Arabidopsis thaliana: one gene and its partner. The main gene of each other region encodes a partner of the protein of the gene in region 2 in a complex. Each region holds a gene or a part of one and is shown on either strand. Other genes may lie near its edges.

Region 1 (3,796 bases), about 14 Mb from region 2:
AAGAGACTTTCGAATTGTTTACAAAAAAAGTCGACTCATATGACTGACTCACTCGTTTCATCTTTTGTTGCTTTCTTGTTTGGCTTCTAATCAGACCATAACACCTCAAAGATGCTCTTTGATTCACCTTTTTTATTTAACTTTTGTATCTCTGATGTCTCAACTTAATTGATACTTCTGTTGGCACGGGTTAAATTTTCCAATTTTCTTTAGACCAATTATTTTACTATCTGTATATTTCCCTTGAAAACTTAATGCTTGTGGTAGTGGGCTTACTGGGCCAATCACTATGATCGTTTATAACGGGCCACTAGATTTTTGATGTTTAACTTTTTGAACCTCACTAGGCATTTACCCATTAGCTTCGTAGTGAAATGCATTGTTTTAGTAAATGGATGGACTCCGACACCATAAACTAGTGATCAATGAGATAGCTGGAAGACTAATAGCTAAAAGCCTAAAACCCTTCTGACGAAATGAGCAAAGTTGATATGCTGCATTTATACACATTATTACATTTTGTGACATGTCTTAGCTAGTTTAGTAAGGATGTAATTTAGATTATTTTTGAAATTGTGATGGTAGATCAACTGGCTCCACAACTCTCGATTTAATCCAAAATAGGGAATTTGCACTAACAAACCTTCTATTTTTCAAGTAATTGGTCGATTACAAATTTGTCCATAAATAACTAATGGCTTTGTGCGTCTTTTAAACAAGAATATGTTATAACAACACTGTTTAATCAAAAAAAAAACATGCTATCATGCACTTTTTTATTCATGATGCGAGATTACATGTTCATCCAATAATTTACTATTTTATCTACAGCCACATTTTTAAAAATACACAATAGCCCAAAGAGTGCATTGAGATAATTTGGTCAATCTGCAACAAAAATAATTATTTACCAACTACTATTTAGCACCATAGTCATATATCTAATTTTCTTCAAATTAGACCATCTAACTAAATACCTCTATGAAAAGCGCTTATTCAAACAGTTCACTTTCCTACTTAAATTAATCATAACTTCAGGGCGAGACATAAGACTACATATATAAACCAAGAAAAACCATTTATGGAACCAGTCACAGTACAACAACAATCACGGTCCATTCGATTCAACACTCTTTAGAATTACAAAACACTTTATGTAATAATGTAAGAATGTGAAAGAAGAGCCTCTAATTGAGTCCGAGACTCCCTCACTTACTCACACACACATTTTAGTTAACGGTGACTTTACCGACCATACCAGCACCCTGATGTGGCGCACAGTAGAAGCTGTAAGTCCCTGGCTCGGTCAAAGCAACCTCGTACGTCTCTCCCGCACCGTTGAGTAGATCTTGCTCGTCCATCGAGATCTTGGCCACGTCGACGCCACTTGGGATCTCGTCTTCATCGAAGACAACATTGTGTGGGTATCCAGCGTTGTTCTTGAACACAATCTTCTCTCCTTTAGCTATAGAGAAGTCGTTGGGAATAAAAGCTAACGACCCATCCCCTCCTCCCAAGAGAACTTCTATTGCCATGGCGTTTCCGGCCAAAGCAATTGAAGCTGCAGCCGCTACGGCCGCGACTCCGAAGTTCTTTAGAGATGACTTCACTGTAAGCTTCGGTGATGCAACAGCAGCAGTTTGGATTCTGACGGTGGCGGATGATTTGATGGTTGAGGCTTTAAGGCCGGTGAAAGATGGGATTGCAACGGTGGCTGAGGTTACTGAGGCCATGATGAAGATTCTTTTAGAGTAGTGATAAGATTTGGGTTTTAAGTTTTTCGTTTAGCTTTGGTTCGATCGAGTTTATGAGTTTTTATGTGGTGAAAGAGAGAAAGTGAGATAGGACAATGGATGGCTCTAAAAGCAAACTCCATAAAAAAACAAGTTATCTATAAAGACGCGTTGTGATTGGTTGATTTTAGATACTGTGTCGTGACATGGCATTATGAGGTGGAGGATGTTTGTCCACGTTTTAAATAAAGATAAGGTTCTTGAATGACGTGGCGTTTTTATATTAGTATTTTGTGATAAAGCGTGTTTACAAATGGGCCTTAATGGGCTTTGACCATGGTCAAGTAACGTGAACAACACGATATTTTTCCATTTTTGTAATTTTTCCTCATTCTTAGTTTCGTTTTCAAGGGCTCTTTTCTTATACCCTAAAAAGTTACTTGTAGATCAAAATCGAAAATCAATGGGAACTCCAGAATCATCGAGAGAGCCATGTCCGGATCGGATCCTAGATGATGTCGGAGGTGCGTTTGCGATGGGTGCTGTTGGTGGATCAGCGTATCACCTCATAAGAGGAATCTACAACTCTCCCGGCGGAGCTCGTCTCTCCGGCGGCGTTCAAGCTTTGAGAATGAGCGGGCCGAGAAGCGGAGGAAGCTTCTCCGTGTGGGGTGGTCTTTACTCAACCTTCGATTGTGCGTTGGTGTACGCAAGACAAAAGGAAGATCCATGGAACTCGATCTTATCTGGTGCAGCCACTGGAGGATTCCTCTCGTTGCGTCAAGGCTTAGGCGCGTCTGCTAGATCGGCTTTAGTCGGAGGTGTGTTGTTGGCTATGATAGAAGGAGTTGGTATCATGTTAAACAAAGTTCAGAGTACTGCGCATAACGAGCAGTTCATGGAGGATCATGCAGCTACTTCTTTACCATATGGTATGGGTCAGATATCTGGTCAGTCCGTACCGGTACCGGAGACTTCTTCTTCTTCTTCTGGTTCGGTATCTTGGTTTGGGAGTTTGTTTAAGAAGAAGAAAGAAACAGAGGATCATCATTCAGAGAGCAGAACTCACATTTTGGAGAGCTTTGATGCTCCTCCTGTGCCTACTTATGAGTTTAAGTGATGGAATTATTGAGGTCTGAATTTTACTTTTAATGTTAAGAGCTTAGTAACTAGAATTATATATTCTGCAATAAGTTTTATATAATAATATTATGAATTAGAGACTATTGTCAATTTGGATTGATATAATACCGTCTGGTTTTATGTATAATTTACCAATTGTTACAACATGATTAGCGTGAAGGTTAACTTCTTGTGATAATGTTGCTCGTATAAGTTTTAAAATTAACAAGTTCTCTCACTGGAATTGAGAAGCATACATGGATTATAAAGTGAAAGAGATACTATGGAATTGAATAGATGGAAAATATAAAGTGAACCAACAACTACTATATGTGCTTAGACATTTGAGATATAGTGTTGTGGAAGATATATTAGAGTACCAACAATACTACTCAGAAAAGTTCATATTGTAACTAGGCGATGTTGAAAGTGAAGTCATTGGGGTTCCATTTACCATTCTCCCGAAACCTCTCATGAAACATGACTTCCTTATTGCGTTTCACCGCCAATGCTATTGTACTCGTTATTTCATAGCGTCTTGTTTTCCCCTGAATCCAACGAAAGAGTACAAAAGAAAAGAGATTAATGCAGGTGTGGATTATATAAAGGGTAGATCAACATTGTTACATTCTCTTACAAATATGTCTTCTGAATCTTCTTTGTCAGTTTCAAATGGATCATACATAGTAAATCTCTCAGCAAGCTCCTTCATTGGTGTTACTTCTTCTCTGTCCGTATAATCACTCATCATCTCACAGGAAAATGTTTTCAGAAGTAATGCATGTATACCAAAAAAAGTGTTTGATTTGAATATACTATCAACTTGATGTGTTACAGATTGTTCTATAGAATTACCTCGGGAAATTGGATATCGAGTCCGGAAGAAGTAAGGGTATGCACACCAAAGTCTACCTCTTCCATATGGACATGTGAATCCTTTG
Region 2 (5,471 bases):
CTATCAGTTCGTCAGACCAAACAGAAAATAGCAAAAGAACATCGAGAAAAACCTCACATCCAGTAGCCTCAGAGAGACTATTGATACGAATCAGAGGAGTATTGCCAATGGCATCAACAAGCCCGTTTCTCATAGTCAACTTCTCCTTCCTCTTCTTCTTCTCGGAGAGACGGAAAAAGAAGCTGTAAGAAGTAAGCATCAACAACGCCGCTGCTGCAACAACAGCGCCAGTCATATTAACAGGCGCCATTGAAGCTCAAGCTCGCCTTCTCCCGTAATCAAACCGGTGAAGTAAAATTAGGTCGTCGGCAAAACAACACTATTTCTATTATTTGTTATTCTAGCCCCCAATATTTCCTTTAGTTAAAAATAAGGCACTAACATTTTTTAAATTATCAGATGCGTCCTTCATTTGATTTGTTCTTAAACTCGTCTCCTGAAGGCTGAAACCCTTTGCTCTCACTCCCAAAACGATGTCGTCTCTATCTCGCGTTCTCCGTGGCACCTTCAACACTTGCCCGATCCGCCGTTTTTCCTCCGCCGCCACCGTAGTCTCCGAACCCACCGCAGTCACTGCCGCAATCTCGCCTCCTCAAAAGTCACTAACCAGTCTCGTGAATGGCGAACGAAACCCCAAACGGATCGTGGAGAAATTCAAGAAGGCATGTGAGTCGGAGCGGTTCCGGACCAACATAGCCGTGTACGATAGAACCGTGCGCCGTCTCGTAGCCGCAAAGAGATTACACTATGTCGAAGAGATTTTGGAGGAGCAGAAGAAGTACCGCGACATGTCAAAAGAGGGATTCGCGGCGAGGATCATTTCTCTGTATGGAAAAGCCGGCATGTTTGAAAATGCACAGAAGGTGTTCGAAGAAATGCCAAACAGAGACTGCAAGAGGTCAGTGTTGTCCTTCAATGCCTTGCTTAGTGCATATAGACTTTCCAAGAAATTCGATGTGGTTGAAGAACTTTTCAATGAGTTACCTGGAAAGTTATCAATCAAACCAGATATTGTATCTTACAATACTTTGATTAAGGCATTGTGTGAGAAGGATTCTTTACCTGAAGCTGTTGCATTGCTTGATGAGATTGAGAACAAGGGACTAAAACCTGATATAGTTACATTCAACACACTTTTACTGTCTTCGTATCTAAAGGGACAGTTTGAGCTAGGGGAAGAGATATGGGCTAAAATGGTGGAGAAGAATGTAGCAATAGACATCAGGACTTACAATGCTAGGCTGCTTGGATTAGCCAATGAGGCGAAATCGAAAGAGCTAGTAAATCTCTTTGGAGAACTTAAGGCTAGTGGGCTCAAACCTGATGTTTTCAGTTTCAATGCTATGATTAGAGGATCTATCAACGAAGGAAAAATGGACGAAGCTGAAGCGTGGTACAAAGAAATTGTGAAGCATGGTTATCGTCCTGATAAAGCTACCTTTGCTTTATTGCTTCCTGCTATGTGTAAAGCAGGTGACTTTGAGTCTGCGATTGAGCTCTTCAAGGAGACATTCAGTAAGCGGTATCTTGTCGGTCAAACAACGTTGCAGCAGTTAGTTGATGAATTGGTGAAAGGGTCTAAGAGAGAAGAAGCTGAGGAGATTGTGAAGATTGCAAAGACCAATGATTTCTTAAAGTTGAAGCTAAATTTGCCGTCCCAGGAAGAGTAAGTCATTTGCTACTCTCTCACTAAGTGTCTCGTTGAATTGTGTCTGAGCAGCTTAAGCTATATGTATTTGCTGGTGTTGCTTTGTGGCTTTTCTACTTCTCTAAACTTTCCTCTGTGGAAGTAAGACTTGTTTCTTTCTATGTAGTTTCGCTTATTTCACTGGTGCAAAAAACAGCATGTAGTCGAGGTTTAGGCAGAAGAAACCCTACAAATTTAATAAATTTTGGTTATTTGTTTTCTCTTTTTGACACGAATGAATTTATTATTTTTGTTGGAAAAATATTTTCATTTTATTTGGTAAATAAATAGTGTAAAATAACTTCATTAATTAGTTATTAAAAGCCCGAAATGCAAAAATAAAATAAAATAGATTCTCTTCTTGGTAAACAAGTAAAAAAAACAGCAAAAAAAATAGAAAAATATCGGAGTAGAAATAAACCGACTACCAAACAGTGGATAAGAGAGTTAAAACGAGCCCATAAAACCTGTTTCCAAACAGTCCATCTGTTAATTTTCCTTTTCTCCGATCAATTCCAAAACCCTACTTCAACCCTGCGATTCATTCATCATTCACAGAGTTTGAAGAAAACGCCGAAATCGGAAATGGCGTCTATTGTTCTTCGATCTCGCCTGTTGCCAAGATTAGCAAAGCTCAGATCTCGTAATCTGAGATGTTTCTCTGCGGAAGCATCTTCGACGAATTCTACATCTAGGTATTCGGGAGTCACCTCTACCCAGTCGATGTTTTCTGATTTTCCACCGCCAAATCAGCCGCCACCTCCTCCTCCTCCTCAAGTGGAAGCTGCTGCCGCGGCTGCGACGGGAAAGGAGAGGAAAGGTCTTAAGTATCTTGGTTACGCACTCCTCTGGGCACTCACTGGTGCTACCGCTGCTACTGGTTACGCAAGTTTTGGTATGTACTTGCATTCATGAATTATCTTTTTTCCCTCTCGTAGATTTCTAGTACAAAGTTGTTTTTGCTGTGAAATGCGAGTAAAAATGTGTTATGGTTTGCTTAATCGTGGCATTGCATTACATTTTCACATATCAGTCTTTTGAATTCAGTGTTCTTCACTTGGTAGAACTGTGTCTTTCTTCGTTATGTTGACTCTTTTTAGTTCTGATTATACTTGTTTGTTTCGTTATGCAGCTTACACGATAGATGAAGTGAATGAAAAGACTAAGGCGTTCCGAGAATCAGCTACGAAGACACCAGTTATTAAATCTTCTGGCATTGATGTGATTGATGTGAGTAAGCTTGGTAGCCTTGAGTCGCTGTCAAATTAATGTTGATCATAACTTGCTTCTGTATTAGTTGACTTTCTTTAGTCTCTGGCTTTCAAATGCGTGCTGCCATGTTTCTCTGCTTCAAGGTATTGTTTATAAGCTTCTCTGAATTAATACCCTTTATACTCATCTTTCTGCAGAAATATCAGACTAAGTTGTACTCTGCTGCAATGACAGGTATAGTTCTTGCGCCTCTGTCATCATAACTAATAGTATGTCTTTAATTAAGCATAGCATGAGTTGGTTTGCTTGAATTTTGATCAGGTTCTGCTAGAGCCATTGATAAGTATTTAGAGCTTAGGGAAATTGTGGAGGAACAAGTGAAAGTACGTCCTTTCACCGAGACACAACTTTTCTTTTTCTTGCATCTTCTTTTTTCTTCTAGAATTCTTATTTTTTGTCTGGTTCCTTATAGGGCTTCACGGAACCTCTCTCGGAAAAGCTTCTTCCGGATCTGCACCCCGCAGAACAGCATGTCTTCACTCTAGTTCTTGATTTAAATGAGACACTGCTTTACACTGACTGGAAGGTAACATTTCATTTATTTACTGATCATCAAAATACTTGCATCATAGATGTGAATATGTGACTCAGAGTATCTATGTTATGAAACAAAGCAGTTCTGGTGAACTACTTTGTTTTCTTAAGTAGTGCTGTATTTAACTTTTCCTGCCTTTTCATTTACAAAAATGTCTAGCGGGAAAGAGGGTGGAGGACATTCAAAAGACCAGGTGTCGATGCATTCTTGGAGCATCTTGGGAAATTCTATGAGATTGTCGTGTATTCTGACCAGATGGAGATGGTAAAGTCCCAATTGGTTTTTCTTTTTTCTCCTTTTTTGCTTGTAATATCATAGTAATGCGACTACTAACGCTTGTTTCATTACTTGTAGTATGTACTCCCGGTCTGTGAGAAATTAGACCCAAATGGCTACATACGTTATAAGCTAGCAAGAGGCGCTACTAAATATGAAAATGGAAAGCACTATAGGGTACGTAAGCAGCTAGCTTATCTTGTCAAAGCATACTTTCTGACTTGCCCGAGTAACTGTTTCTCAACTAACTATTAAAATTCCTGCTGCAGGATCTGTCAAAGCTGAACAGAGATCCGAAGAAGATTCTGTTTGTTAGCGCAAATGCCTTTGAATCAACCCTTCAGCCAGAAAATAGCGTGCCAATCAAGCCTTACAAACTAGAAGCTGATGACACAGCCCTAGTTGACCTGATACCCTTCCTTGAATGTAAGTATTGGTGAACTGAGGGATAAGTTCTGTTCCAGTCCGTGAACTGCCTGTATCAATTTTGTTTGGTTGATCTTCCTGTTTGGGTTATGCAGATGTTGCACGTAACAGTCCAGCAGACATCAGACCGGTTCTGGCCTCTTTTGAGAGAAAAGATATTGCCAAAGAGTTCATTGACAGGTCCATAGAGTATCAAAAGTGAGTCGATCAGAGCTTTTTTTTTACCCTATCGTATCAATGCAAAATCTGTTGGTAGTGTCCCACTAAGAGTGTCATATCTCTATGCAGGCGAAAGCAAGGACAACTGGGACAAGGTCGATTCTGGAGGCGTTAAAGGATCTAAGATTTATGTATAGAGCGAGAGACAATTATATCATCATTGATGGTGCACACCATAAAATAGGAACATGAGCTACCGTTCTTCGCTATGGATTTATTAGGTAAAATCCGAATTAAAATACTGTCTTTGTCATCAAAGAGTTTTTATGTTACCCAATTTTCCTCGTCTTTCTCTCTGCTTTACATAGAAAATTTCTATGAGAACGAAAAAGAAATTATCATATGGAAGGTTCATTTTTCGTTGACTAACAAATACCGTTTTTTTTCTCTGATTTATTTTTACTTGGTTTGACAAATGATTTATGATTATGAACTTTGAGAAATTATTGGTTGAAACGTCAATTTGTATGTATTGCTAAAAAAAAGAGTAAATTACCTTTTCTAGTACGCTTAATATTTATCTGTCTGTTTCAATGCGTGTCTTAAGGTGCAATATCAGGTTTACAATTAGGTAAATCAATTACAGATTTTTCTTGTTAATCTGAACCAAATAATTGTACTTTTTCCTAAATTTGAATTCATAAAGAGGGTCCAAGTCTAACAACCACTTACAAAGCTCCTTCACCCGTAATCCTTTTCAATGTGTCGTAATCAACCAACCAAAAACCATAAATTTATTGTAGTACAAAACAAAACTCCATGACTTTAAAGTACGACTCTTAAACACCACTTATATATTACACGACATATCGCTTAACTTCGAATTTCAGACACACAAACCCACTGAACATTCAAATGTCTCGTTCTCTTGTCTTCTTCTTCCTCTTTCTTGTCTTGGTCGTCCCTTGTCTCTCCCATGGAACCGGAGGAGACCACGACGACGATGAGGCTTCGCACGTTAAGAGTTCCGATCTCAAATCCAAATCCTTAATCTCCGTCAAGATCGCATGTCTTGTCATCATCTTTGTCCTCACGTTCATAAGCGGTGTATCTCCT

The links. Proteins that work in one complex are often made in the same cells at the same time.
Region 1: TIM50 (region 2) and TIM17-1 share a complex: the UniProt entries of both Arabidopsis thaliana proteins name them as parts of the TIM17:23 complex.

The regions. Positions count from the first base shown.
Region 1 is NC_003070.9:7,041,541-7,045,336, forward strand, and holds TIM17-1 (translocase inner membrane subunit 17-1), read left to right. Parts: upstream 1-2,087; 5' UTR 2,088-2,196; coding exon 2,197-2,853; 3' UTR 2,854-3,052; downstream 3,053-3,796. Other genes in the region: DRT112 (Cupredoxin superfamily protein), read right to left, coding at 1,230-1,733. UniProt on the Arabidopsis thaliana protein: Essential component of the TIM17:23 complex, a complex that mediates the translocation of transit peptide-containing proteins across the mitochondrial inner membrane. Links the inner and outer membranes.
Region 2 is NC_003070.9:20,900,891-20,906,361, forward strand, and holds TIM50 (Haloacid dehalogenase-like hydrolase (HAD) superfamily protein), read left to right. Parts: upstream 1-2,175; 5' UTR 2,176-2,272; coding exon 2,273-2,582; intron 2,583-2,819; coding exon 2,820-2,917; intron 2,918-3,096; coding exon 3,097-3,133; intron 3,134-3,220; coding exon 3,221-3,282; intron 3,283-3,371; coding exon 3,372-3,485; intron 3,486-3,653; coding exon 3,654-3,758; intron 3,759-3,848; coding exon 3,849-3,947; intron 3,948-4,039; coding exon 4,040-4,196; intron 4,197-4,291; coding exon 4,292-4,394; intron 4,395-4,484; coding exon 4,485-4,530; 3' UTR 4,531-4,963; downstream 4,964-5,471. Other genes in the region: AT1G55880 (Pyridoxal-5'-phosphate-dependent enzyme family protein), read right to left, coding at 53-250; AT1G55890 (Tetratricopeptide repeat (TPR)-like superfamily protein), read left to right, coding at 474-1,670; ZIP11 (zinc transporter 11 precursor), read left to right, coding at 5,271-5,471. UniProt on the Arabidopsis thaliana protein: Essential component of the TIM17:23 complex, a complex that mediates the translocation of transit peptide-containing proteins across the mitochondrial inner membrane.